Anolis sagrei: one gene and its partners. The main gene of each other region encodes a partner of the protein of the gene in region 2 in a complex. Links are inferred from orthologs where the notes say so. Each region holds a gene or a part of one and is shown on either strand. Other genes may lie near its edges. The genes, in order: NTS, SORT1 and GRN.

Region 1 (10,066 bases), on a different chromosome or scaffold from region 2:
CCTCACTATAACCTGCAATGTCATAGCAGGGAGTGCTTTTGGTGGCTCCTCAGCACTGTAGATTATAGGTGTTTGTGGAGGCGGGAGGCTATCTGTGTAAGTGGATACCTCCGCTACATATACACATATACATTTTCATTTTTATTATGTGTAGATAGATAGATAGATTAAAATACTTCTCTGTTTATATGTGCCTTCAAGTTGCCTACCAATATACAGCAACCCCATGAGTTTCACAGGATTTTCTTAGGCAGTTTTGCCAGTTTCTTCCATTGATATATAGCCTACAACATTTGGTATTCATTGACAGTCTCTCATCTAAGTACTAACCAGAGTTGACTCTCCTTAACTTCCAAGATCAGACAAGATCTGTATATTTAGGCCCTAATATCAAATGCCTTTATAGCAGCATGTAAATAAAATCAATGCAAATGAGTTGAACTATTTTGAAACAATAACATAAGTAATCTAAAACATAATAAATAAAATACAATTAATAAGATAACATAATTTCAAATCATGTATGTGCATTAACATTTTGAGGAAATTATTTGAGGCTCAAATGCTTTAATCATGATTCTACTTGGTACCTCAATGAAATCACAAATCAGCATTGATGCCAATCAGTCTTCCAATGGAAGGGTATGTCATAGTTGCAGTGTCACTGCTGAGAAAGCCCTCTCCCACATCCTCATACAATGTATTAAATTCATTGATGAAACACAGAAGAAAGCCCTCTAAATCCTCAGATAGGCACACAGCAAGATAATAGATATGTGAGGACAGTTGAGAAAAGGTAGGAAGATCTGCTTATCCACTAATTAGAACACATATCCACTAATTAGAACACACACATAGGCATTTGAGAACTGGCTTACAAGATATATTTTGTGCCAGCATGAACCTCATGCTTTTTACCTCCTTCCCTTTTCTTAAATACACCCCTCCCCAAAATAAGGTGACTTTCTATAAACGGACTGAAAATAACCTTATCTGAGAATGCACAGACCATGTGCCATTCTTACTGAATTAATGCAATGTTGTGTAGTGATGTGTGTGTCCATTCAAGATCCACAGTTAATTCCTTGCCTAGTCAATTTTTGTACCTGACACTTCTTCATTGTAATTCAATGGAAAGAGTGTTGTAATCTAACCAGTGAGAATGAAGATTTAAACCGAGCAGACCTGGGTTCAAATCATACTCAAAAAGGCGGCTTGGGTCAGTCAATGTAGCTCAGCCTAGCCCACATGATGTGCTGATAAAAAGAGAAGGGAAGGAGGCTGAGCTGAAACACCACAATGTTATTCAAAACCAGAAACAACTTCTCAAAATGCTTACATTATCTGTAAAATTGCCCTGGTGCATATGTAGTAATTTATTCATTTTTTGGGTTGCCCTTGCCATAAATCAGCCAATGAATTGACTCCATACAACAACATCTGATATCAGCCATCAAGCCAATGTCTTAAATCAAGAAATAGCTTCCCAAGATCTACAGAGATACAGGAACACCTCAGCAAGTGAGAGTCCAAAAGTGGCAGGTTAAAACTCGGAACCTCAATCAGTGGCTGATACCAGATGAGAAACTTCCTCCTGGGCACATGGAAGACTGGGCGACTTGGAAGGCACTGAACAGACTGTGCTCTTGTACCAAGAGACACAGAGCCAATCTTAAGGCATGGGACTATAAAGTAGAGTCCAGGACATGCAAGTGCACAGAAGAGCAAACCATGAACCACTTGCTACAGCGCAGTCTTAGCCCTGCCACATACACTATAGATGACCTTCTTATAGCAACACCAAAGGCATTCCAAGTGGTCAGCTACTGGTCAAAGTACATTTAGTATAATGCTATTTTTTTCTATAATGGTGGTTCTCAACCTGTGGGTCCCCAGATGTTTTGGCATTCAACTCTCAGAAATCCCAACAGCTGGTAAACTAACTAGGATTTCTGGGAGTTGTAGGCCAAAACACCTGGGGGACCCACAGGTTGAGAACCCCTGTTCTATACGTTATAACTGTATTCTCAATTCACTTCTGACATGATATATAAATAAACAACAGAAATAAACAGCTTCAAGCCACCTGTTAGGTCAAGGTGACCCCATTCATTTGGTAAAGTTTCCTCAGCTCAGTTCCTTTTTTAGAAATACAATGATGGAGTTTGGTTCCAGGACCCCATGGATGCTCAACTCCCATTATATTCAAGGGGTTAGAAAACAGTGCCCCTTACATAAAATAGTAAAATTTGAATTTGCTTTCTGGAACAATTTCAAGCCATGGATGGTTGAATTCCAGGATGCAGAACCCTTTGATACAGAGGGCCCATTGCATAATGTATGTCACTTGGTACCCAAATACTAACCAGGCTTGAGCATGGGTTGCTGTGAGTTTTCTGGGCTGTATGGCCATGTTCCAGAAGCATTCTCTCCTGATGTTTCACCCACATCTATGGCAGGCATCCACAGAGGTTGAGGCATCTGCTGGAAACAATGGCTATGTCTTTGTGTGATAATGTGATGTTATTTTATGTGATGTGTTTAATAATGTTTAATGTTTTATCAGGGGTGGTCAATTTTGATGTTTTATACTAATTTTTAATCAATGGCATTGAATTGCCCTGAATCCCCTTCAGGGTTGAGAAGGGCAGTATATAAATACCACAAATAATAAATAAATACATAAACTTGCCTAGTTTCCAACAGAACCCTCAACCTCTGAGAATGGCTGCAATAGATGTGGGTGAAATGTCAGGTGAATGCTTCTGGAACTTGGCCATACAACCTGGAAAACTCACAGCAACCTAGTGAATCCGGTCAGGAAAGCCTTTGACAACGCAGGGTTGACCCGGTTTAGGTTTAATATTGAAAGACACATAGAAATACATGCTCTCATATGTTAGCCCTCATGTTTGAACTTAACAACAACAACAACAACAACAATAAACTTTATTTATACTCTGCCATCTCCCCAAAGGAACTCAGGATGGCTAACATGAGGCCAAGCCCAAGGATTACAATACAGCAAAGTAAAATACATCAGCAAATAATAATAACAAAGAAAAATACAATCAATAGCAAATACACAATAAACAACACAAAATAAAATAGTAGAAGAATAAAAACACAGTGGGTGGGCCAAATGCACAAGATAAAATTGATAAAGCCCTGGGTGAGATTTATTTTATTTATTTATCGTGTCAGGAGCAAACCAAACTGCAAAAGCTTGCAAACTTGGCATTCTATTAAATGTCCTTTGAGGCAGGGCTCAGATTGCATTGTAGTAGGTGGTCTGTGGTTTGCTCTTCTCCACACTCGCATGTCGTGGATTCCACTTTGTAGCCCCATTTCTTAAGGTTGGTTCTGCATCTCGTGATGCCAGACAGAAGTCTGTTTAATGCCTTCCAAGTCGCTCAGTTTTCTGTGTGCCCAGAAGGGAGTCTCTCATTTGGTATCAGCTGTTGATTGAGGTTCTGGGTTTTAGCCTGCCACTTCTGGACTCTCGCTTGCTGAGGTGTTCCAGCGAGTGTCTCTGTAGATCTTAGAAAACTATTTCTTGATTCAAGTCGTTGGAATACTGGCTGATATCTAAACAAGTGAGATTAGATAAATGGAGTAATGTGTATCTGGGAGGAGAACTCAGAAGGGTGAACAGTGTGGTTAACCTTCACTAAGGGATGGGAGAAAGTGCATCAAGGGATGGATACACACACACACACACTTCTAATACACACGCAAGCACACCGGAAAACTATGGGCACATCTACACTATAGAATGAATGGGAGCCCCTGGTGGTGCAGTGGGTTAAACCCCTGTGCCGGCAGGACTGGAGACCAACAGGTTAGAGGTTTGAATCCGGGGAGTGCATGGATGAGCTCCCTCTATTAGCTCCAGCTCTCCATGTGGGGACATGAGAGAAGCCTCCCACAAGGATGGTAACACATCAAAAACATCTGGGCATCCAGAGATACATAAGATACCAGAAGAAGAAGCTTGGTTGGAAAAGATACTTGACATAAGAAATATGGACAGACTTTCCTACTTGATGTCTAAAAATAAAGGAAAGCCGATAAAAGAAACAGATTGGACAAAAGTTACAGAATACTTAAAACACAAAACTGTATGATATTAATATAACATAACATAAGAGAGAGAGAGAGAGACCAGACGAAAGGAAGGGAGAAGGATAAACAAGATGGAAAGGAAAGAAAGAAAAAGAAGATACCTCACAGAGGATACTCAGGAAGTTGGGACTGAAATCTATTTGGTTGATGGTTTCTTTTCATTATTTTTTCCCTTGTTTTATTTTATCGTTTCAATCTTCCCCATTCTCTTTCCTTGTTTGTTTCTTTTCTTTTCCCTTTTCTTTTAAATTATGATTGAAGCTTCTATATAATATGGAAGGTCAAGGGTAAAGGTTTTCCCCTGACATGAAGTACAGTTGTGTCCGACTCTGGGGTGTGGTGCTCATCTCCATTTCTAAGCTGAAGAGCTGGCGTTGTCTGTAGACACCTCCAAGGTCACGTGGCCGGCATGACTGCATGGAGTGCCATTACCTTTCCGCCGGAGCAGTACTTATTGATCTACTCACATTTGCATGTTTTCGAACTGCTAGGTTGGCAGAAGCTGGGGCTGACAGTGGACGCTCATACCGCTCCTCGGATTCGAACCTGCGGCCTTTCGGTCAACAAGCTCAGCAGCTCAGTGCTTTAACCCACTGCACTACCGGGGGCTCCATATAATATGTATTTTAATGAAAACTTTCAATAAAGATTATTTTTAAAAAATATCCGGGCGTCCCCTGGGCAACGTCTTTGCAGACAGCCAATCCTCTCACACCAGAAGCGACTTGCAGTTTCTCAGGTCACTCCTGACATGACCAAAAAAAGAATGAATGGGGTTTGACACCAATTCAACTCCTGTGGCTCAATGGTAAGGAATCCTTTGGGCTGCAATCTGTTGAAACACTAGCACTCTGGCAGGAAAGACTAATCATCCCATACCACTGAGCAATGGCAGTTTAAAGTGGTGCCAAACTGCATTCAGTTGGGGAGGGGAGAGGTTGCAGTGCGAACTTTCTGTTCCCTCTTTTCTCCCCCATTTTTTTTCCTGTTTTGTCCTTCTCTTTGTCTCTGACCCCTTTCCCCCCGCTTTCCTTCCTCGGTCTTTGCGTCAAGAAGCGCGAAATCACGCCTCGCAATTAGGGAACCGCGTCAGTTTCCCCCCGAAAGAGGCTCCCGGAGGGGAGGGGAGGGGAGGGGAGGGGAGGGGGGAGGAGGCGTTGCATCCAACGACAGTGGCTGCGGCGCCTCCGTGACATCAGTCGCCCGCTCCCTTATATACTCCGGGACTGGTCCAGGGCTGCCCTTATGGTCCAGACCTTCAGGAAGCAGCTCCAGGCGCTCGGAAAGGGAGAAGGCAAGAGCCCGATCTTGGCGCGCTCCTCCGCCCGCCTCTGCCTCCCTCTCTTCCTCTCTCCAAACTTCCTGGCCGATTGGCCTCCCTCTCTGCCGCTCGCACGCCCCTTCTTGCATGGACTTTGCCTTCTAGAAGGAGAGAGGAGGATGGCGACGAGGATGCTGAGGATGCAGCTGGCGTGCGCGATGCTGCTTGCCTTCGCCTCCTGGAGCGTGTGCGCAGGTAAGCAAGCGGCGCCTCCTCGGTTTAGGCAGCCTGGCTCTCTCAGGCGAAGCCCGTGAGAACCAAACTCCACCTAGGATGAGGCAGCCCTGGTAGTCCTTTCCAAAGGGAGGAGTTGGGACCTGGAGGGTCACTTTCAAAAGTTAGGAGTTCCTGCTTGGCTTTGGAGAAGGCTTCTAAGCAACTCAGATTTGACAGGTTCTAAGTTATATATGTTGTATGGGTATCGTTTGAAAAAACCCCCGCACCCATTGCCTGGCTGACTTTTTAAGATTCACCTTTAAGCTAATAGAAGAGTTCCCTTCACGTCCATCTTTTGGAAGGAGGCTTCTGCTTTGGCTGTGTCACCTTAAATGCCATGTGGGCTCCATTAAGAAAGAGCATTATAGGAATGAGTAAAGCCATGGAGTTGGAAGGGATTCCAGACCTCCTCACACTAGAGAATGAATCCACTTTAAATTCGGTTTCTGCCTCCTGCAGAATTCTGAGTTTGTAGCTCAGGGAGGAGCCTTTAACAGCCTCCCTAAACTACAAACCCCAGAATTCTGCTGCAGGCAGAAACCGGATTTAAAGTGGATTCATTCTCTAGTGTGATGTAGGAACAAGAGTCCAATCCACTGCCCAATGGACCGAACTGTCTGGAAAATTGTGGTATATTTTTCACTGTGCCAAAATATATGTGGGCTGTACTAATTTGGATCAAATTGGGTCATTTTAATGAATGAACAAAAGGCTTTTTTTCCATGTCAGGAGCAACTTGAGGAACTGCAAGTCGCTTCTGGTGTGAGAGAATTGGCTGTTTGCAAGGACATTGCCCAGTGGACACCCAGATGTTTTACCATTCTGTGGAAGGCTAATCTCATGTTCTTGTATGAGAAGCTGGAGCTAACAGAGGGAGCTCACCCCACTCACCAAATTCAAACCACCGACCTTTCGATCATCAGTCCCTGGTGGCACAGGGGTTTAACCCATTGAGCAACCAGGGACTCCAGCAAAATGCTCATGGAGTCATAAACTCAGGACCCAATGAACATGAGCTGCCAAAAGTTCTGGTCAGAGACAACCAATGTATAAGAAAAGCTGAAAAACCTTATAATAACCATGGCAAAATGGATAGCATGAACCATGGGAAAAACTATAGCTTTTTAGAGCTATCATTGCTTTTGTTAACTCATTGAGAACCAGAAAGGCTCCTGCAAATCACCCAATCCTGTACTCCTTTGTGGTCTAGCCCAGTGCTTCTTAAGCCGTCTGATGTGGGAGAGACACTTGTGTGCCAGGGATCAAAAAACCTGACAACAACCATGGCAAAAAGGTCAGCATTAACCATGGCAAAACTATAGCTTTTTAGAGCTATCATTGCTTTTGTTAACTCATTGAGAATAAGAAAGTTTCCTGCAAATCACCCAATACTGTACTCCTTTGTGGTCTAGACTGGCACTTCTTGTCTGGTGTGGGAGAAACACTTGTGTGCCAGGGATTAGTGCCATATTTATCTCCATTAACTATAGCTGTTTCCCCCCTCCTGAACACAGGGCATGGCAGTCACTAGCTTACTGGAGTCAGTTCACAGAACACTTTGAATATCACTGTTCCAGACCACACCTGACATATCATGAGATTAGCAATAGGTGACCGGAGCCCCCAGTGGTCCAATAGGGTTAAGCCAGCAGGACTGAAGACCGACAGGTCGGAAGTTTGAATCTGGGGAGAGGGTGGACAAGCTCCCTCTGTCAGCTCCAGCTCCCCATGCAGGAACATGAGATGAGCCTTCCACAAGAATGGTAAAACATCCGGCCATCCCCTGGGTAATGTCCTTGCAGACGGCCAATTCTCTCACAACAGAAGCGACTTGCAGATTCTCAAGTCACTCCTGGCATAAAAAAAAAGCAATAGGCGCATTTTTGAAACCTGCTTTGTGGCACAGCACTACAAGCTTGTTTTTATGACAGGTTTTTTTTCCCCATCAGTAGACTGGAGTAATGGTAGAGATCTTCTTTAGAGACTGTTTGGAGAAATAATTGTGAGAATATGTTGTTGATTCTTACTACTTCATGACACTAGAGAATGAATCCACTTTAAATCTGGTTTCTGCCTCCTGCAGAATTCTGGGGTTTGTAGTTTAGTGAGGCTGTTAAAGGCTCCTCTCTAAACTACAAACCCCAGAAGTCCACAGGAGACAACAACCAGATTTAAAATGGATTCATTCTCTAGTGTGATGTGGTCCTAAGATGGAGAAAGGTTCAAAATCTAGGAGAATTTCTTATCTCAAACTATATACAATATTTCTTAAAAGAGCAAAATGTTGATCTGTTCAGACTTAACATCCAACAGTGGTCTCTATTTCATATGAAAGTCAATGTTTACAGTTATTCTAAAAGTACATCCAAAATTCAAGGTGTGAATCAATATATAAGCAGATTATCTGAAAAAAGGAAAAAAGAAGTATTTCCTTAAATTTCATTTAATCCCTCCTCCTCAGGCCATGTTTCATAACTGAAACCAGTTTTACTTGTTATTGTTATTGTTATAAGCCTTCGTGTCAATTCTGGTTTACTGTCAATTGTATTCTCTTGGTCAGATTTATGTAGAGAAGTTTGCCATTGCCTTCTTCTAAGGATGAGAGAGTTTTACTTGATCCTGATTCTCCATTATACCTGAGGATTGCAGACTCTGGTCTTAAAATCATAGAATCCTAGAGTTGGAAGAGACCTCATGGGCCATCCAGTCCAACCCCCTGTCAAAAGGCAGGAGAATCACATTCAAATCACCCCTGACAGATGGCCATCCAGCCATCTTCCAGAGTCATTTCATCATGCTATGTTGAATCTCTTGGATTTTAAAGAATAAAAACATAATTATTTCAAAAAAAATCTGAATTTTATCTTATAAAATATTGTTTTATGGCATATTTTCCAACATGGTTTTTCAAAATATTAAAATAAGTGGTATGAGGAATTTACATGAGTTCCAGAGATACTTATTACTATTTCTGAAATAGTTCATGGAAGAATTTAGAGAAGGGGGAAAAAACCTCTATAGTTCTGATTCAGGATCCCTGTATCCAGGTAAAACTGTATAGTACATGATTCAAAATAAAAATGTGTGTGCAATGTAAAATCTAAGTATGTATGTATGTATGTGTTAAATACTAGAGAAAACTGATTCTCTAAAGTCAAAAGCCGTAATCCTGTACAGTTACACGACAAGTCCTTTTTAATCCAGTTGGATTTACAAATCCTGTGTGAACCCATATCTGATGTTTATTTCCAAATTATATTTTGGGTTATATCTAACTGAAAAAAAAGAATGCTCCTATCCAGGGCAAAAAAGGTTCTAAAAAGATATAAACATTTGTATAATTCCAATTATTCTCACATATTTGAATTATTGATCATATTTGATCATAATATTGTAATACAATAAAATAATAACAATATAATATAATATAATAATAATTATATTTTTATATTTCATGTAATATTACTAATAATATTGCAGTGTAGTGGTATAGTACAATATAGTAATATATAATACTAATATTGTGCTATGCCAATAATATAATATATTGTATGTGCATATAACTTGTAAGCTGCTTTCAATCCCCTTTGGGGTGAGAAGAGCAGGATAATTTGTAAATAAATAAATAAATGAACTACCCAATTCATGGGACTACCCAATTTGCGACATTGATGAAAATACTGACTGTTTAATGTTATTTTTTTTATAATTACCTATTACCAAGTGTAATGTTAAAAGTGTGGATGGTTTATACAAAATGGTCTTCAGCTTCAGTTAAAATGACATTTCTTTTCACTGGCATGGCCTTTCTCATTGGAAAAAGGAAAATCAATGATGTAAAATTGACGACGCACTTGTTGAAAGAAGCAAGGACACTGTTATTCCTTTATGCCTCATCATCTTGAATACAACCCAGAAATCATCAGCACTTTTAAACTCTAGTAATTCAAAAGGGAAGATTAAGTACATTTCAGTGGAACTTTAGAAGCGTTTAAATTCAATTCCACCATACCCGTTGCCTTCAATGGAAAGTCCATTCAATATGGAAATCTGCCATTTAATTCATTAAGCAATGAGTATCTATATCTCTGTAGGTGCATCTCTATAGGTAGAACTGAACAATAAGTGACTTGGAATACAAAATGGGAGAGGCAACCATTTTTTTCTGTAAATCCCAGGAAATTATCTACAAGCATGAGATCAAAGACCACAGAGCAACTCTCCTCCACGCACACGCGTGCACACACACCATTTTTATTATTTAGTACAGAATTCTTTGTGTAGCTTTGCTGAAAATAAGTTCCTATTTTCAGCAATCTCTTTTTACAAAAACAATTTCTCTTGCTATTTAGGTTATCACAGGATCAAGAGAATCGAGAATAAAACAATAGACACAATTTTCAG
Region 2 (10,833 bases):
CCTTAAAGTTTAAAGTTTGCCAGTCATCTGCTCTGTATTTCCCTTATTTGATATTATGGCCAAACATCACATTACAGTTTTTATTAGCTTTACTTTCATTTTGGCACACAAGGCAAGCCAATGATCTTGTGTCATATCCCGTTTCATTCATATCAATAACCTTTAACGATATAGCTTGAGGTCAGATGTTTGTAATAAAAGGGATAAAAGTCTATAGCAGTTTCTCAAACATGTAAGTAAACGATTTCATTTATTCCGAAACAATCGGTGAATGAACCCAGACAAATGCAGGATTCTTCCTTTTGTTGAAAAATTGGTGATGGGAAATCATATAGAATGTACTTGTTGAAGAAAGTAATGAATTGTTTGCCTCATCCGAACGGTAGGCAGACATCTTTAATGCTACAAAAATGTTCTCAATAATGTTTTGTTATCAGCTAGAAAAGACATATATGGGGGTATTGTAAAGGTTAACACAGAAATAAGGGGTGTATGTCCATTGGCTGTGTTTTCACTAAGCAAATGTTATTGGGTGTAATGAGCAATAAGCAGAAAAACGTCCCATGTTGGGCTAGGTACCACCTAACATATAGCAATGAGCTTATCCATTAGTGCCTTCTATTACCTGTAAGAATGGATCCACTGCGATTTAAGTTTGCATTAAATGTATAGTGTTCCTTTGAAACAAAAGCTCAGGGGAAGTAAATTGTAAAGCAAATGTGATCCTAGATTAAGCTGGTGTAATGCATTCTTCAGTGAGAATAGAGGTGTTTTAAATTTATAGGAAATGATATGAAGAGTTCTTTGAAAGCATAGAATGGTTTTTATTTCATCTAGACTTTGTTTAGTTTGTACAAAAAAAGGATCTCTAACATGTAAGACAAAGGCTTTTTATGTTCTCTTTTAAATACAGTTGGTAGTACCAGCTACCATGTGAGCAAACTAAAAAAACAAGACTTTGTTCCATTCTTATTTGAGCAGTAAAAGCAAGTCCTTCTTGATTGCTACAAACCAGCCAATTCCAAATGTTAAAAGCTGTATGTATTCATGTTGGTCTTTGAGTTATTAGAAAATTATACAAATCTTATCATATCTGTCATAGCATCAGAAAAAGTATATCTGTGTATCCCACTGTTCAAATCCAAACACTTTAAATAGCTAAAAAATAACTGTAGGGAAGATCTCTGATGGGTTCCTGCTTGTTTTCAAAACTCACAAATACATTATATTGTGCATCTTTTATTTTGAGGAAATGACATATGTCTGCAACAAGACATCATGAGGTCTTCCACATAGTGTACTGTAACTCATTCCACGCAATTGGCTGTGATGGCTGGAATGACAGAAATTGCAGTCCTAACAACCTCTGGAGTGTTGTATGATGCCCATCCTCCATAAGATAGTACATATTTTTCTTTGGTACTGATTTTTCTGAATCAGTTATAGCAGTGGTTCCCAACCTTTTTTTGACCAGGGACCACACTCCAGCATTAGTGCCAAAAGGGTTATGAAACAGGTTTTGGTCAACTTTAGATTTCGTTTGGGGGGCTGATTCAGAAAATTGCTTTGGATAAACCACATCAGCTCCAGTTTCCATGGTCAGCGACAGGGAAGGAGTAGCAGGCGGAGCAAGAAGAGTGGGAGAAAAATAAATAATGAGGAAGGAGGCTCACGGATCAGGTTTTTGTCCTCGTGGCCCATTGGTGGTCTGCCGCCCACACCTTAAGAACCACTGAGTTATAGGGTACATATTCCTGTTACTGAATTAGACATGAACTGGTATGCTGCCTTTGTTTGTACAGGTTCTGCATCAGCATGCTATTGTTTGCCTTCAAGTCATTTCTGAGTCATGGTGACCCTAAGGCTAACCTATCACAGGGGTTTTGTGGCTGAAAATATTCAGAGCTTTTCCCTTGCCTTTTGAGGCTGGGGAGTATGACCTGTCAACATCACCCAGTGAATTTCTATGGCAGATCAAATATTTGAACCCTGTTTCCCATTGTCCTAATCCAATACTCAGTCAACGATACCACTCTGGCTCTTAGTATGTGTTGTAATACAAACAGGCCACAAACTTCCTTGAGGGTTTTCTGTATCTAATCCCAAAAATGTGCAAAGCCAAAACAATTTATAATTCAAGGATTGTTTTTGGTTTCTCCCTACCCTAGAAAATTATTGTGAAATCACAAAGTTAAACTTTTAAATGAAGTTTGCAACTCCATGCTTCAACAATGCAAGCAGAGACAATATGAACTCTACATAAAATAATAATTTAAGATGGGTTATGTAATCCTGGTTAAATCTTTATAACATTTATTCTTCAATATAAGTGTATTTACTTAGCCTTCAAATAATTGCTACAATTAGTTGATAAAGGGTGTATACATTTCTGGAACACCCTGTATATATATAGTGGTCATAGCTGATGTTATGTAAACATCTCAGGGGAAAAATGTATACCAAATCGGATATGTATTAATGTTTTATTTTCTTATTTGTTCTAGTAAGAGCTGTCCCACCCTGTATTTATTGGCAATAATCACTAGGGAATGGTGGTTATCATTTCAAACTTGCCAGCTGCTGTTTCCTAATGGAGATTTAAATACAGTTGGTCTGTTGATAATTGTTATGTGGATAACCTGCACAAAATAATTACAAGTTCAAATTATGTTTTAAGATTAATGTCTGGATTTTGCATTAGCTGCAGCTAGAAACCAGCAAATTTCTTGAATATCCTGAATAACCCACAAAGTTTCAAAATGGTGGTATTTTGAAAAATAGCAGCTTCCTAAAAGCTGGCTCTTTGGAAGGATGTTATTATTCCAGAGTAATCTTAGCCAGCCTTTTTGTTTTAATCACATAATTATAGACTTTATAAATATAAAAGCTAAGAAACTGGTAATCAAAGTGGTGATCTTGCTTAGTTGCCTGTTGGTTTCCCCAGCCAACTTAAACACTTGGTCCTGATAAAGATTACACTCAGTGGCCCACAGGATTTTTATTGCTTATGGGGCAGTTTCCCAGAGATCAAGCTGTTCCTCAGCTAATTTCGGAAGGAGCCGTGTTGTCCCTTCTAGAATGTTTGCAAAGATTGCCAGAGATTATGGCAAGTTGTTTTCTTTCTTTTGGGAAGCTTGTTTCAGTTTATTCTGGTAATACTGTTTTCAGGAACAATTTAGAATTCTTTTTTCAAAAACAACAAACCTTTCTTCTATTAAAAATATTTTATCTATATCCTACTTTGTCAAGCTAGAAGATTATCTAATATGGTTAAAATACATCGAGGAATATAGTACTATAATAGTGGGGCTACTTCTGTCTCTTGAACAGGACTTTGGTTTGGGATTATATTAATTTGGTAATAGAAGTCTAATTCAACAAAAAGAAGCTTCCGGTGGCACAATGGGTTAAACCCTTGTGCCAGCAGGACTGAAAACTGACAGGTCGGAGGTTCGAATCTGGGGACAGCACGGATGAGCTCCCTCTGTCGGCTCCAGCTCTCCATGTGGGGACATGAGAGAAGCCTCCTACAAGGATAGTAAAACATCAAAATATCCAAGCGTTACCTGGGCAGCGTCCTTGCAGGCGGCCAATTCTCACACCAGAAGCGACTTGCAGTTTCTCAAGTCGCTCCTGACACGGGAAAAAAACATTCAACAAAATAGGAGGGTCCCAGGTTGAGGAAGCTTTCAGCAGTTTCTTGGGCTATTTTCTAATAATGATCTATCTTCAGTAGATAATTTTTGTCAATGTCACTGCAGTGTATATACATTATTTCAACATCTAATTTGTGTTGCATGCCATTATGTTTCCTTTTCCCCATCCCCAACAGTTTCATGTTGCAACCTTTTGGTTCAGTTTCCTGTTTGAACTTCAGTGCTTCCATTAGTGTTGCACCTAACATTGAGACACCCATAAAACCACTGCCAGTTTACTCAACTGGTTGCATTGCCTGTAGATTTCCATTTGTGTGCATTCTTTATTATTATTTTTAAATGGCCAGTTCAAATTGCTCAGTTCTTGGCCTTTTTAATTTTCCACCATCCAAGCCAAAAACCCTTCCACAATGGCATAAATATGTATGTATGTATGTATGTATGTATGTGTATATAGGGGCTTCCTTTCCTCTTTCTGACAGATGGCAATATTCCAACATGGCAGCATGCCCTTATTTGTAAAACAAAACCCCTTTTTACTATTCATGGAATAGATGAGGATCAAACTGGACATGTTCTTCAATAGGATTGATTATTGACTGTCTGCTATTTTATTTGTAAAAATTAAGGTGCAGGGCTGAACTAGTGGTTGGCTCAAGAAAAATATTTCCTACAATCCTGAATAAAGATAAGTTACCTAAGTAACTATATCAGAGAGACTGTGTTATACACACTGGAATTTGGACTGATACAGGCTGAGATCCTTTCACAACCATGAAATTTCCTGAGGGTGCATCTTATTAAACAATTAATGCAATTTGACATTATTTTGACTGTTGTGGCACAATACTATGGAATCCTGGGATTTGTTGTTTGGTGAGGCATTAACACTCTTGGATAGAGTAGGTTAAAGACCTTGTAAGTTGCAGCTCCTGATGATTCAATAAAATTATCCATCTTTGCTGTCTTATAGGAGACTCAGAGCAGCCATGGAAGTTAAATGTGGGGTTAAACTGCATTAACCCCAGGCGCACATACATTCCAACTTACTTTGCAGATTGGGATGGTGAAGTGGGAAGTGAGCCAAGAATTTTCACAATTTTGTAGGAAATGTGGCAGAAAATGATCATTTGATTTATCACAATTGTGCTGAGACCCTGTTTAATATAATCAGTTGTGCAGTTGATATAAAGGGAACAATTGTTAACCTTGTGAAACCCTTAGGGTGTCCCTACAGCAAGCTGATTCAACTGAAGAGAAAGGTTCAGAGATTTGACTGATAGCTTTGCTGTGTATCAATTTCTTCTCAAAATCATTTTTCCTTTGCCAGTGTATATTGACAAGTCTAACATTCAGAATACAACCTGAGTATTCCTTGTCTGAAACTGCAAATAGCTCCCAAACCTAAAATGGTCTACAAGGATGGCTGAGATAGTGATGGTTCAATATACACAAAAAAATGTCCATGCACAAAATAATACTGTATAAAACAATCATCAGGCTATGTGTACATTTTTCTTTTGTGTCAGGAGCGACTTGAGAACCTGCAAGTTGCTTCTGGTGTGTGAGAATTGGCTGTCAGCAAGGACGCTGCCCAGGTGACACCCAAATGTTTATACCATCCTATGGGAGGCTTCTCTCATGTCCCTGCATGAGAAGCAGGAGCTGACAGACTGGAGCTCACCCTCTTCCCTGGATTCAAACCGCCGATCTTTCGGTCAGCAATACTGCCTACACATGGGTTTAACCCATTGTGCCACTGGGGGCTCCGTATGTGTATATGAAGCACACAAATAATACAATCATCTGGCTATGTGTATGTCAAACACATGAATTGTGTGTCTAGACTTCAATCCATCTTCAGAGGTGCATCTACACTGTAGAATTAATGCAGTTTGACACCACTTCAACTGCTATGGCTTAATGCTATGGCAGACATGGTTCAAGATCTTGTAAAAGTATAACCCCTAAGAGTCCATCTCATTGAGCCATGGCAGTTAAGGTGATGTCAAACTGCATTAGATGTACGGTGTAGGTTCTCCTCTAGCCTCTCGTGGACTTCGTGTCCTTGCACTGCAGCCAATCAGGGCACGGCCTCGAGGATGTTTTAGGATTACTCCGAGGATCAGCAAAGGGACAACGCTGGTAGGCAATTAGCCAATGGGCAAGGTGCTCTTCAAAGTGGGGTGATGCTGCCCAGCTAGAGAATCTGACGGGGGGAGGCTCTTGCCGCGGGGAGCCAATCAACGACTGCAGTGCGGAAACGGACAAGGCGTTAACCCAATGAGAAAAAAGAAGCCGGGAGCGTTGGACGAATGGGGGAGAAGCTACCAAGAGAGGCAGGTTGTTGATCGAAGGTGGGTGAGATTGGCGTTTCCGGCAGCCAGTGACGTTGACATACCTGGTCGGCTTGGGCCAATGAGGGCGCGGGTGGGCGGGACGGGCCCGCCCCTGAAGCTTGAGGAGAGAGTTTCCTAGCGATTGTTGTTGTGAGCGGCGGCGGCGGAGATGGAGCGGGCGAGTTTGGCGCGGGTCGGGGTCTTGCTGCTGCTCTTGGCGGGGGCGCCGGCGCTGCTTGGCGGACGGGAGCTCCGGTTCGGGGAGGGGAGGCTGCGGGCCCGGCGGGGGGCCCAGGAGGGCCGGCCTGAGGCGGAATGCGGCCCGCGGGACGGAGGCTTCTCCTTGGAGGCGCTGAGCAACAACACCCACAAGGTGAGCGGGAGGCAAGGGTGGGGGAGACGGGCCTGAAGAGCATGAGACTTCGGTGCCTTCCGTTCTGTGGTGTCCTTCAAAGGGGCGTCTACACTTAAGAATTAACGCGGTTCGACACCGCTGCAGCTGCCCTGCCTCAAGGCTATGAAATCTAAGGAATTACTATTCACAGGGTCTTGGGTCTTCTCTGCCAGAGAGGCCACAAACCACAAATCCCAGGGTTTGCTTTGATACCGCTTTAAATGCCATGGCTCAAAGTTATGGCAGCCTGGGAATTGTAGTTTCACAAGGTCTTGAGCTTCCTTCGCGGTCTCTATATTTATTTATTTATTTACGACATTTATATGCCGTCCACCTCACCCCAAAGGGGACTCAGAGCGGCTTACAAGTTATATGTAAATACAATATATTATATTATTTACATAGCACCATATTAGTAACATGCATTCCCATATTGTACTATACCAGTATACTGTAATATTATTAGTAATATGACATGTAATATGAAATATATAATTATTATATTGTATTATTATTAGTATTATATTGTATTACATTATAATATTATCAACTATATTATAATATGCTAGCCGTCCCCTGCCACGCGTTGCTGTGGCCCAGTCTGGTGATCTGGAAAATAAAGTAATGGTTTCTAATATATGTAATTCCTTTATGCTTGAGGGTAAACAGTATTCCTTGTTGTTTCTATGTCGGTGTTGATGTGGAGAGTGTCTGGTTTGCCTACTCTGGAACATGCGACATAGAATTGTCCTTCTTTAGGGGTCCCTTTCAAATCTATAACACTATATCTCGCTCTGTGTGTGAATCATATCAATCTATCTATATCTATGTCTGGATGGCTCTTTGTCAGGACGACTTTGATTATATTTTCTTGCCCTCATGAAGGGAGTTGGATTGGATGGCCTTAAGTATTTTCTGTTGGTCATGGGGTTCTGTGTGGGAAGTTTGCCCCGATTCTGTCGTTCGTGGGGTTCAGAATGCTCTGATTGTAGGTGAACTGTGAATCCCAGTGACTACAACTCCCAAATGTCAAGGTCTACTTCCCCCAAACTCCACCTGTGTTCATATTTGGGCGTATTGAGTGCTCATGCCAAGTTTGGTCCAGATCGATCATTGTTTGAGTTCACAGTGCTCTCTGGATGTAGGTGAACAACAACTCCCAAACTCAAGGTCAATGCCCACCAAACCCTTCTAGTGTTGTCTGTTGGTCATGGGAGTTCTGGTGCCAAGTTTGGTTCAATTCCCTCGTTGATGGAGTTCAGAATGCTCTTTGATTGTAGGTGAACTATAAATCCCAGCAACTACAACTCCCAAATGACAAATTCATACTTTTTGAGTGATGGCCATTTCTTGTGTTGTGAGATGTTTTGTTGCCAAATTTGGTGTGATTTCGTCCATTGGTTCTTTTGTTTTTAAGGAACTCATTATGCACAGAGCATTTTTTATATATAGATTATTATATTATTGTACTACATTATAATATTATTGTATATAAATATATATGAACTATACATCCTAGGATTGAGTTGTATCAGTTCAATGTGGTGACAAACTGCATTAATTCAACAGTGTAGATCAGTTATAGGCAAACTTGGGCCCTCTGGGTGTTTTGGACTTCAACTCCCATCATTCCTAACAACCTCAGGTCCCTTCCTTAAGCGGCTGAGGGGGAAAAGGAACAGGCCTGAGGTTATTAGGAATGATGGGAGTTGAAGTCCAAAACACCCAGAAGGCCCAAGTTTGCCCATAACTGATATAGATGCACATTCAATTCAGCTTGAGAGTGACAAGGAAGATGCTGTCTCTGAGCATGTGCAGAATGCCTCTTAATAATCTCTCTGTCACTTCAAGTATGGCATAGGAGTTTCAGCAATCGTCTATGGGTGCACCTGCAGTGTTGAATGGATACAATCTGAAACCATTTCAACTGACATGGCTCAGTGCTATCAAATGATGGGAGTTGTAGTTTTACGACAGCTTGAGTCTTCACTGGCAAAGAGGGTTGATGTCTCACCAAAGTACAAACTCCCACAATTCCACGGCAGTTTAAGTGGCTTCAAGCTGTATTGAGCCATGGCATTAAAATCGGTTTTTAGTAGTGTTAAACCGCATTAATTAGACAGTGTGGATACACCCTACAATTCTAGAGATCTGGATTAGAATCCCCACTTGTTCATGGAAATCTTCTGGGGTGATTCTGGGTAAATCATCCACTCTCAGTCCCAGAAGCTTCCTTAAGGAACACAAAATACAACAAAAGATACACATTAGACATTCGGTAGGAGCTCCCTGTGGTGCAATGGGTTAAACCCTTGTGCTGGCAGAACTGCTGATTGACAGGTCTGCGGTTCGAATCCAAGGAGCGAGGTGAGCTCCCATTTGTCAGCTCCAGCTTCTCATGGGGGACATGAGAGAAGGCTCCCACAGGATGGTAGAACATCCAGGCACAATGGGTTAAACCCTTGTGCCGGCAGGACTGCTGACCGAAAGGTCTGCAGTTCGAATCCGGGGAGCAGGGTGAGCTACCGTCTGTCAGCTCCTGCTTCTCATGTGGGGACATGAGAGAAGCCTCCCACAGGATGGTAAAACATCCGAGCATCCCCTGGGCAATGTCCTTGCAGGTGGCCAATTCTCTCATGCCATAAGAAACTTGCAGTTTCTCAAGTTGCTCCTGGCACAAAAAAAGAAGATATTCAGTGCCTATTCCTCTTGAATCAGCTGACAGGTTTCCTAGGCCAGGTGACTTGCATTGCTCAGATAAGGTTTGAACCCAAGTGGCGCTCACTGCAAGAATTAAACATTGGTAATATGCGACACAAATAAGCATGTACGCTTTTGAGTGGACAGCCTGACGTACTTGTGAGGAAAGAATGGGGAAGAGCCACACCTTCAGAGCCAGGGAATATAATGACTTTGGAGCTAAGTCAAGACAGACTGACACTCTTTGGCACTTGAGTGCTATTCTTCCTAGGAAGCCAACAGGAATGTGCATTTAAATTGAGGGAATGGCAGAGTTCTCCAACCTAGTTAGCTTTTCAGCCATAGGGTGCACCAACACTGTACAAGTAATGCAGATTGACACCACCTTAACTGAGGAGCCCCCGGTGGCGCAGTGGGTTAAACCCCTGTGCCGGCAGGACTGAAGACCGACAGGTCGCAGGTTTGAATCCGGGGAGAGGCGGATGAGCTCCCTCTATCAGCTCCAGCTCCTCATGCGGGGACATGAGAGAAGCCTCCCACAAGGATGATAAAGACATCAAATCATCCAGGTGTCCCCTGGGCAACGTCCTTGCAGACGGCCAATTCTCTCACATCAGAAGCGACTTGCTCCTGACACGACAAAATACAAACAAACAAACAAACAAAAACACCTTAACTGCCATGACTCAGTATTATGGAATCCTAGGAGCTCTAGTTTTACAATGTCTTCGTCTTTGTCTGCCAAAGAAACTCACCTAACAACTCCCAGGATTCCATAACATTGAACCAAGGCAGTTAAAGTGATGTGAAATTGTATTGCTTCTGCAGTGTATATGCACCCTCAGAGCTGGTTAGAAGCATTTAAAAATGCAAAAGATCTCAGTGTGTGACATCTAGTTCACCCTGAAAAGATTTTCTTTATCCATTCTGAGGATTACTGGCACTTAGAGGGATATGAACTGGTTTTGAGCTTACCACTGTCTTCATTAGCCTGTGTTTTGTGTTAAAAGCCGATGGGCACTATTGGCTTTCATGTGAATGGCTTATCCTAAAGTAGCGAGACTCTGGAATTCGTTGGATGTGACTGGCAAGTGAGGAAGCCAGCTGCTACAGGATAGGTGTGCACAAATCTAAATTTTGGTTGCTCAGGTTACCTAGCTTTTCTGAGTGTTCAACTCCCATTGTGTTTTACAGCCAGTGTTTGTTGGACATGTTGGCAAAACATGTCTTGTCCAGTGAGCATGGATTGTGAAGGCCATTCTATAGGAAATACCTTCAGACTAGTTTCGCTTGATTGTCAGCATTTAGTGACAAGGCAGGGGAGTTCACCTGAATCCACCCAGCATGCAAGTGATCTACAATTTTAGAGTGCTATATTTCTATAGAGCTGCTGAAAATTGATTTAGGGATGGCATAATAAACACTTTTGAATTGCAAGTGGTGTTCATAATGTTGCTTCCTGAATGTTGCTGTTCTTGTTGTGTGCTTCCAGGTTATTTGGCGACCTTGAGGCTGAGAGTGTGTGACATGCTCAGGGTCAGCCAGTGGGTTCCCATGGCTGAGTGGGGATTGAAACCCTGGTCCCCAGTGTCTTAAAGTGCATTTACCCTGTAGAATTAATGTAGTTTGACACACTGTTTAATTGCCATGGCTCAATGCTGTAGGACCCTGAGTTTGATGTGTTCTAGGAGAGAGAAGGCTAAAGATCTTGTAAAACTACAAGTCCCATGATGCCATAACATTG
Region 3 (9,788 bases), on a different chromosome or scaffold from region 2:
AAATATACTAAATAAATAAATAAATTGTGGCCCAATGCTATGGAATCATAGGGCTAGCAGTTTCAGAAGGTATCTAAGCCTTCTTCTCACCTTAGTGGATGACCTCTGCAGAGAACTGGACAGGGGGAATGTGACCCTGCTGGTTCTCTTGGACATCTCAGTGCCTTTTGATACCATTGATCATGGTATCCTTCTGGAATGACACACCGGGATGGGACTTGGGGGTACAGTCCTGCTGTGGGCCCGGTCCTTCCTGGAGGGTCGCTCCCAGTTGGTGAAGTTGGGAGACACCTGCTTGGACCTCTGGCTGTTGACCTGTGGGGTCCCGCGAGGTTCCATTCTGTCCCCCATGCTCTTAAACATCTACATGAAACAACTGGGTGAGGTAATCTGGAGTTTTGGTGCCATCTCTATGCAGATGACACCCAACTCTACAACTCTTTCCCACCAGAATCCAATGAAGCCCCTCGGGTGCTGAACCAGTGCCTGGATTCTGTGACGATCTGGATGAGGGCGAACAAGCTGAAGATTAATCCCAACAAGACAGAGGTCCTTCAGGTCAGTGGTAAGTCTGACCGGGGTATAGGGGGGCAACCTGTGCTGGATGGGGTTGCACTCCCCCTGAAGACACAAGTCCGCAGCTTGGGGGTCCTCCTGGACTCAGCGTTGACGCTTGATGCGCAGGTGTCGGTGGTGGCTGGGAGAGCCTTCGCACAATTAAAGCTTGTGTACCAGTTGCAGCCATACCTTCTGAAGTCTGACTTGACCACGGTGGTCCATGCCTTAGTTACCTCTAGATTGGACTATTGCAATGCACTCTACATGGGGCTTCCCTTGAAGATGGCCTTGAAACTCCAATTGGTCCAAAAGTTCGGCAGCTAGATTACTAACTGGGGCAAATTATAGGGAGTGGCCAACCTCCGTTTAAGGAGCTCCATTGGCTGCCGTTCATTTTTTGGTCCAAATTCAAGGTGCAGGTTATCACCTATAAAGCCCTTAACAGTTTGGGACCCGCCTATCTTTGTGACCACATTTCCTACCACCAACCTCCACGATCCCTTAGATCCTCTGGGGAGGCCCTCCTTTCGTCCCTTCCTCTATCATAGTTACAACCTGTGGGAACAAGGGAGAGAGCCTTCTCCCCCATGGCCCCCCGGTTTTGTAACTCGCTACCTAGTGAGATTAGTCAAGCCCCACCTTAGCAGCCTTTAAGAAAGGTTTGAAAACTTGGCTTTTCCGATGTTATCTTTGGAGAGTGACCATACATCCCATTTTTGTTTATTCCATCTACAGTTTTGTCCTCATGATGCACTTTCCTCCGTCCTTAACGAAAGGCTGAACCCCACTGATTGTCTTTTTGGGCTCTTCCATCATTAATACACTCCTTCACAAATACACTTTCCCCCCCACTCCTATCTCATCCAGGGTTTTATCATTTTATCTCGTGCATTTGGCCCGCCCATTGTGTTTGACTTTCTATTATGTTATTTTGCATTGTTTATTTTATCTTGTTCATTATGTATTTTATTATGATTTAATTTATTGTTGTTTTGTATTTTATTTTTCTGTATTGGATTTTTGGGCAAAACAGCAGAGAGTAAACAATCAGGCACATCAAATCACTCCCAACGAAAGATTCCCCCCAGGCACTTCCAAGCCATTAAATGCTAATCAAGGTGGTCAGTTGAAACATTCACACCTAGCTCCAGCAGACAAAGGTCCTTTGTCCCACCCTGGTCATTCCACAGATATATAAACCCATTTTCCTACTTCCAACAGACCTCACTACCTCTGAGGATGCTTGCCATAGATGCAGGCGAAACGTCAGGAGAAAATGCCTCTAGAACATGGCCATATAGCCCGAAAAAACCTACAACAACTCATTATTATTATTATTATTATTATTATTATTATTATTATTATTATCTTTATAATAATAATAATAATAATAATAATTGTTATTATTATTATTCTCTGCCAAAAAAAGCTCCCAAACTACAACTTCCATTACTCCATAACATTGAGCCATGCCAGTTGTATCAAACTGCATTAAACCTACAGTATAGATGCATCCTAAGACTGTAATTAGACCACTATAAAGGTTGTTTCAATCATTAACAGCCAAGGCTACAAGCAATACTAAGAACACTAAAAAGAGCTGCTTTGGCTATGCTCAGCCAAAAGCAAAACAAAGACTGAATGGGGTGTAGCAATACAGCAATGAAACCAGGACGACTCCACGCCTGTTTTGACTTGATCTTTTGCAGGCAGAATTGTTTTTGACCTTGGAAAAGAAGAATAAGTCGCAGAAGGAGGAACTGAGAAGGCAGGAATAATCTTATCAGAACATTCTGGTGCTTTGAAGGAGTTGAAAGGCAACTCTGCATGAAGTTTTACTGTTATATGGCTTGTTTTTAAAAGGGAAGGAGAAATTGTAACTTTTCAATTTCTTTCCCAGCATTTGCATCCTTTTTTCTTCTTACCAGAGACTATAAGGATAAGGAAGAATGGATGGAATGACTTTGGATGCATCTTGAATTATTTTATTATTTTATTATTTCAAATATTTATACCCCACCCTTCTCAATAAAATAAAAATAATAATTCAGGGGGGGACTCAGTGCGGCTTACAGCCGGCAAAGATTCGATGCCCTTATATACATATAATAAAACACAATAATTACATATAGACAAAAACATTAAATCAATTCAATTGGGCTTGTTCTCCAGACTCTTGATCATTTTAGTCGCCCTCCTCTGGACACATTCCAGCTTGTCAATATATATCATCAATTGTGGTACCCAGAATTGGACACAATATTTCAGGTGTGGTCTAACCAAGGCAGAATAGGGCTAAACATGCCCAGCTCTTTAAGCCGCTCCTCATAGGGCTTGTTCTCCAGACCCTTGATCATTTTTAGTCACCCTCCTCTAGACACATTCCAGCTTGTCAACATCTCTCTTCAATTGTGGTGCCCAGAATTGGACACAGTTGTCCAGGTGTGGTCTAACCAAGGCAGAATAGGGCTAAACATGCCCAGCTCTTTAAGCCGCTCCTCATAGGGCTTGTTCTCCAGACCATTGATCATTTTTAATCGCCCTCCTCTGGACACATTCCAGCTTGTCAACACCCCTCTTCAATTGTGCTGCCCAGAATTGGACACAGTTGTCCAGGTGTGGTCTAACCAAGGCAGAATAGGGCTAAACATGCTGAGCTCTTTAAGCCGCTCCTCATATAGCTTGTTCTCCAGACCCTTGATCACTTTAGTTGCCCTCCTCTGGGCACGTTCCAGCTTGTCAACATCCCTCTTCAATTGTGGTGCCCAGAATTGGACACAATATTCCAGGTGTGGTCTAACCAAGGCAGACTAGGGCTAAACATGCCCGGCTCTTTAAGCCGCTCCTCATAGGGCTTGTTCTCCAGACCCTTGATCATTTTAGTCACCCTCAACACCCCTCTTCAATTGTGGTGCCCAGAATTGGACACAATAGTCCAGGTGTGGTCTAACCAAGGCAGAATAGGGCTAAACATGCCTGGCTCTTTAAGCCGCTCCTCATAGGGCTTGTTCTCCAGACCCTTGATCATTTTAGTCACCCTCAACACCCCTCTTCAATTGTGGTGCCCAGAATTGGACACAATATTCCAGGTGTGGTCTAACCAAGGCAGAACAGGGCTAAACATGCTGAGCTCTTTAAGCCGCTCCTCATAGGGCTTGTCCTCCAGACCCTTGATCATTTTTAGCCGCCCTCCTCTTGACACGTTCCAGCTTGTCATCCCACTTCAATTGTGGTGCCCAGAATTGGACACAATATTCCAGGTGTGGTCTAACCAAGGCAGAATAGGGCTAAACATGCCTAGCTCTTTAAGCCGCTCCTCATAGGGCTTGTTCTCCAGACCCTTGATCATTTTAGTTGCCCTCCTCTGGACACATTCCAGCTTGTCAACACCCCTCTTCAATTGTGGTGCCCAGGATTGGACACAATATTCCAGGTGTGGTCCAACCAAGGCAGAACAGGGCTAAACATGCCCAGCTCTTTAAGCCGCTTCTCATAGGGCTTGTTCTCCAGACCCTTGATCATTTTAGTCACATTCCAGCTTGTCAACACCCCTCTTCAATTGTGGTGCCCAGGATAGGACACAATATTCCAGGTGTGGTCGAACCAAGGCAGAAGAGGGCTAAACATGCTGAGCTCTTTAAGCCGCTCCTTATAGGGCTTGTTCTCCAGACCCTTGATCACTTTAGTTACCCTCCTCTGGACACATTCCAGCTTGTCAACACCCCTCTTCATTTGTGGTGCCCAGAATTGAACACAATATTCCAGATGTGGTCTAACCAAGGCAGAATAGGGCTAAACATGCTGAGCTCCTTAAGCCGCTCCTCATAGGGCTTGTTCTCCAGACCCTTGATCATTTTAGCCTCCCTCTGTTTTAGGCCAATTTGGAGCCTTATTAGAGTACTAGAAAACAATAATCCTATGATTCCACAGCATTAAAGTGGTGTCAAACCGAATTAATTCCACAGTGTAGCCTGGAAAGTGACTTTTGGGGGGGGGGGGGGACTACAATTACCACAATGTTGACAAGGATTCTGGAAAGTGTGATTTAAAAAAACAAAACCAAGCCATTTTCCCTGCCCTCTGCATGCACTCAGAGACACCCTTCTCGGTTACCACTTCCGGGTTTAATGCCTGGCCTGACCCCTCTTTTTTCTTTTCTTCCCTTCTGTCACGTGCGATCCTTCCCAACCCGAGGAGATCATGCGCGCCTTTGAAAAATTGAGAAAGAGGGTCATATGATCGCCTCTGCCAAGACCCACTGCGGTAGGATGGGCCCAAGCTGCGAACCAGCCAATCAAATACGAGGAACCGGCGTTCTACCTACCTACGCCACGCCCCCCTGGGGAAAAACAACCAATCCCCTTGCGGTAGGAAGAGAGTGCATTCTCTGAGCCAGTCTGTGCATTAGCGGGTTGGAACTGGCTGCAGTGGGAAAGCCTGGGTGAGTTGTGTTTACATTGGAATTGTATAGAATACTTTTCAAAATCACTGTTAGGCGTTTTGAGTTTAGTTAAGAGAGCAAAAGCGGCATATAGATCAAAGTAATGATGATGATGATGATAGTAGTTGTAGTAGAAATTATAATAATAATCATCATAATAATAGTTGTAGTAATGATAGAGTAATAATAATAATAATAATAATAATAATAACTAGCTGTCCCCTGCCATGCGTTGCTGTGGCCCAGTCTGGTGATCTGGAAAATAAAGTAATGAGAAAGTGTTGGTTCCTAATATATGTAATTTATTTATACTTGTGGATAAACAGTATTTTTGCTGTATTGTCGAAGGCTTTCATGGCTGGAATCACTAGGTTCTTGTGGGTTTTTTCGGGCTATATGGCCATGTTCTAGAGGCATTTTCTCCTGACGTTTCGCCTGCATCTATGGCAAGCATCCTCAGAGGTAGTGAGGTCTGTTGGAGTTTGGAAAATGGGTTTATTTATATATCTGTGGAATGACTGGGGTGGGGCAAAGTGCTCTTCTCTGCTGGAGCTAGGTGTGAATGTTTCAACTGACCACCTTGGTCATGTTTCAACTGACTGGTCATGTTTCAACTGACCAATGAGCATTTGAAGGCCTAGCTGAGCCTGGGGGAATCTTTTGTTGAGAGGTGTTAAGATGTGCCTGGTTGTTTCCTCTCTGCTGTTTTGCTGTTGTAATTTTAGTTTTTTTAAATACTGGTAGCCAGATTTTGATTCCCCCAGGCTCAGCCAGGCCTTCAAATGCTAATGAAGACGGTCAGTTGAAACATTCACACCTAGCTCCAGCAGAGAAGAGCTCTTTGTCCAACCCCAGTCATTCCACAGAAATATAAACCCATGTTCCAAACTCCAACAGACCTCACTACCTCTGAGGATGCTTGCCATAGATGCAGGCGAAATGTCAGGAGAAAATGCCTCTAGAACGTGGCCATATAGCCCGAAAAAAACCCACAAGAACCTAGTATTTCTTGCTGTTTCTTTGTCAGTGTTGATGTGGAGATTATCTGGTTTGCCCACCCTGGAACATGCAACATAGAATTGTCCTTCTTTAGGGGTTCCTTTCAAATCTATGATACTATATCTCTCTCTGTGAATCATATATATATCTATAGCTGGATGGCTCTTTGTCAGGAGGGCTTTGATTATTTTTTCTTGCCCTGGTGAAGGGAGTTGGACTGGATGGCCATAAGTATTTTCTGTTGGTCATGGGGGTTCTGTGTGGGAAGTTTGCCCCAATTCTGTCATTCGTGGGGTTCAGAATGCTCTTTGATTGTAGGTGAACTATAAATCCCAGTAACTACAAATCCCAAATGTCAAGTTCTCTTTTCCCCAAACTCCATCTGTGCTCACATTTGGGCATATGGAATATTCGTGCCAAGTTTGGTCCAGATCCATCATTGTTTGAGTCCACAGTGCTCGCTGGATGGAGGTGAACTACAACTCCCAAATTCAAGGTCAATGCTCATCAAAACCTTCTAGTGTTTTCTGTTGATCATGGGAGTCCTGTGTGCCACGTTTGGTTCAATTCCCTCATTGGTGGAGTTCAGAATGCTCTTTGATTGTAGGTTAACTATAAAGCCCAGCAACTACAACTCCCAAATGACAAAATCAATTTTTTGAGTGATTGTCACTCGTTGGCCTGATAGGTATCTTGTGTCCAAATTTGGTGTCAATTCGTCCAGTGGTTTTTGAGTTATGTTAATCCCACAAACGAACATTACAATTTTTATTTATATAGATATATCAGCCATGATAGGCAACAAATGCCTTCCTGTTCAGTGAGAGATTTGAAGTATAGCCAGCTAGGGACTCCTGCTTTCTCATTTCCTGGCTTCCAGAATGCATCTACACTGTAGAATTAAAGCAGTTTGATACCACTTTAACTGCCATGACAATACTATGGAGTTATGGGTATTGTAGAATTTACAAGGTCATTCTTTAGCCTTTTCTGCCAAGGAGTGCTGGTGCCTCACCAAACTGATTCCTCACAGTTAAAGTGGTACCAAACTGCATTAACTCTACAGTGTAGATGCCCCCTGGGTTAGATGGAACTGATCTGTGTTGTTATGGTTGGCGGCATCTACGCGATGGAATTAATGCAGTTTGGAACTACTTTAACTGCCAATGCTGTAGAACCATAGGAACTGTTATCTTCAGTTATCTCTGCCGAAAAGTATGCAGGATTGCATAGCATTGAGCCTTGGCAATTATAAGTGGTATCAAACTGCATTAATTCCTCAGTGTGTTGTTGTTTATTCGTTCAGTCGCTTCCGGCTCTTTGTGACCTCATGGACCAGCCCACGCCAGAGCTCCCTGTTGGCTGTCACCGCCCCCAGCTCCTTCAAGGTCAATCCAGTCACTTCAAGGATACCATCCATCCATCTTGCCCTTGGTCGGCCCCTCTTCCTTTTTCCTTCCCTTTCCCCCAGCATCATTGTCTTCTCTAGGCTTTCCTGCCTTCTCATGATGTGGCCAAAGTACTTCAACGTTGTCTCTAATATTATTATTATTATTATTAAACTTTATTTGTACCCCGCTAGCATCTCCCAAGGGATTCGATGCGGCTTACAACAGGCCGAAGCCCAGCACAACACAATACAACAATACAATACATAGCAAAATAAAACAAAATAAAACAGTTAAAGCAGAAAACAAAGGCAATAACAATACAACAGGACGTTATTTAAAAAACTGAGCCGGCTGGGGTGGGGTACAGGGTTAAAAGTGCTGAAAAAAGTGTCGGAGGGATATAAGATTAAGATATAAGTACGGTGTGCGTTGAAAGTGATCTTGGCTCTACTAAAGTGCTTCTGGGCTTTGATAGTGGGGATTCCTAATCTGAGAAGGCACGTTGGAATAGCCAGGTTTTCAGGTTTTTTCTAAAGACCGCCAGGGTGGGGGCCTGTCTGAGATCTTTCGGGAGGGCATTCCAGAGGCGGGGGGCCACCACAGAGAAGGCCCTGTCCCGCGTCCCCACCAAACGCGCCTGTGAGGCGGGTGGGATCACGAGCAGGGCCTCTCCTGATGACCGGAGCGAGCGTGTGGGTTCGTAGACTGTGATGCGGTCTCGTAGGTAGGATGGTCCCAAACCGTTCAGGGCTTTGTAGGTAAGCACCTGCACCTTAAATTGGGCTCGGAAGATAAATGGCAGCCAGTGGAGCTCCCTAAACAGGGGGGTTGACCTCTCTCTGTAGGGGGCCCCGGTTAGCATCCTGGCTGCTGCCCGTTGGACCAGTTGAAATTTCCGAGCCGTTTTTAAGGGCAGCCCTACGTAGAGCGCATTGCAGTAGTCCAATCTAGAGGTGACTAAGGCATGGACCACCCCGGCCAGATCAGCCTTCGCGAGGTACGGGCGCAGCTGGCGCACAAGTCTCAGTTGTGCAAAAGCCCCCCCGGACACCGCCGACGCCTGAGCCTCAAGCGTGAGCGATGAATCCAAGAGGACTCCCAAGCTGCGGACCTGTGGCTTCAGGGGGAGTGTAACCCCGTCCAACACAGGTTGCCACCCTATACCCCGGTCTGGTTTGCGATCAACCAGGAGGACCTCTGTCTTGTCGGGATTGATCTTCAGCTTGTTCGTCCTCATCCAGATAGACACAGCGGCCAGGCACTCGTCCAGCACCCGAGAGGCCTCCTTGGAATTAGGTGGAAAAGAGTAGTAGAGTTGTGTGTCATCTGCGTAGAGATGGCACCCAACTCCAAAACTCCGGATGACCTCTCCCAGCGGTTTCATGTAGATGTTAAAAAGCATGGGAGATAAAATGGAGCCTTGCGGGACCCCACAGGTCAAAGGCCAGGGGTCCGAGCAGGCATCACCCAGCTTCACCATCTGGGTACGTCCCTCCAGGAAGGACTGGAGCCACGACAAAACCGTGCCCCCAAGGCCCATCCCAGATAGCCGACCCAGAAGGATACCATGGTCGATGGTATCGAAAGCCGCTGAGATGTCCAAGAGGACCAGCAGGGTTACACTCCCCCGGTCTAGTCCTCTACGGAGGTCATCCACCAAGGCGACCAAGGCTGTCTCGGTGCCATGACCAGGCCTGAAACCAGACTGTGCCTGATCCAGGTAATTGATGTCATCCAGGAAGCTCTGGAGCTGGAGGGCAACCACCCGCTCCAGCACCTTACCCAAAAAAGGGAGGTTGGAAATCGGTCTGTAGTTGTTCAGCACCGTAGAGTCAAGGGATGACTTCTTTAGGAGTGGACGAACCACAGCCTGTTTCAAACTAGATGGAAAGATCCCTTGCTCCAACGAAGCGTTAATGATCAACACAAACCAATCAACCAACCCCTCCTTGGCAGATTTAATAAGCCAGGATGGGCAAGGGTCAAGAGCCGAAGTGGTCGCCCTCACAGCCCCAAGAACCTCCTCCACGGTCTCAGGAAGAACAAGCCGAAAAGAATCCCACAAAATTGGACAAGCAGATGCCTCGGTCACCTCTCTTGGCGCTACAATAAGATTGGAGTCGAGCTCAAGACGTATCTGGGCAACCTTGCCTGCAAAGTGGTGTGCGAAATCGCAACACCGAGCTGTTGGGTCGTCAGGGGTCCCCTCCACCACAGGTGGGTGAAGGAGCTCCCCGACAACCCGAAACAGCTCTGATGACCTATTTGCTGCAGACGCTATCCGGGCGGTCGTGAAAGATTTCCTGGCCGCCTGAATAGCCACGGAATATGCCTTAAGAGAGGCCTTAGCCCGTGCTTGATCAGATGCGTCCCGAGATTTCCTCCACTTGCGCTCTAGC

What was found.
Region 1: the proteins of SORT1 (region 2) and NTS are in contact, whole or in part, in a crystal structure (PDB 4PO7), measured with the Homo sapiens proteins. The link is inferred for Anolis sagrei from reciprocal best matches to the Homo sapiens genes SORT1 and NTS. Residues at the interface, in NP_002950.3 of Homo sapiens: Val112, Ser113, Leu114, Ser115, Trp116, Lys260, Tyr304, Ser305, Phe306, Gly307, Leu308, Phe314, Ser316, Arg325, Ile327, Phe350, Tyr351, Ser352, Ile353, Tyr395, Gly399, Thr570, Gly571, Leu572, Ala573, Trp586, Trp597; in NP_006174.1 of Homo sapiens: Leu152, Tyr153, Glu154, Asn155, Pro160, Tyr161, Ile162, Leu163.
Region 3: the proteins of SORT1 (region 2) and GRN are in contact, whole or in part, in a crystal structure (PDB 8T8S), measured with the Homo sapiens proteins. The link is inferred for Anolis sagrei from reciprocal best matches to the Homo sapiens genes SORT1 and GRN. Residues at the interface, in NP_002950.3 of Homo sapiens: Leu108, Gly110, Ser111, Val112, Ser113, Leu114, Ile174, Gly175, Pro176, Lys260, Tyr304, Ser305, Phe306, Gly307, Leu308, Phe314, Ala315, Ser316, Arg325, Ile327, Phe350, Tyr351, Ser352, Ile353, Leu354, Tyr395, Thr398, Gly399, Thr402, Phe404; in NP_002078.1 of Homo sapiens: Pro578, Arg579, Trp580, Asp581, Ala582, Pro583, Arg585, Arg590, Gln591, Leu592, Leu593.

The regions. Positions count from the first base shown.
Region 1 is NC_090025.1:151,526,771-151,536,836, forward strand, and holds the start of NTS (neurotensin/neuromedin N), read left to right. Parts: upstream 1-5,311; 5' UTR 5,312-5,370; coding exon 5,371-5,641; intron 5,642-10,066. UniProt on the Homo sapiens protein: Neurotensin may play an endocrine or paracrine role in the regulation of fat metabolism. It causes contraction of smooth muscle.
Region 2 is NC_090024.1:184,772,359-184,783,191, forward strand, and holds the start of SORT1 (sortilin), read left to right. Parts: upstream 1-6,093; 5' UTR 6,094-6,164; coding exon 6,165-6,368; intron 6,369-10,833.
Region 3 is NC_090026.1:47,776,500-47,786,287, reverse strand, and holds the start of GRN (progranulin), read left to right. Parts: upstream 1-4,917; 5' UTR 4,918-4,999; intron 5,000-9,788. UniProt on the Homo sapiens protein: Secreted protein that acts as a key regulator of lysosomal function and as a growth factor involved in inflammation, wound healing and cell proliferation. Regulates protein trafficking to lysosomes, and also the activity of lysosomal enzymes.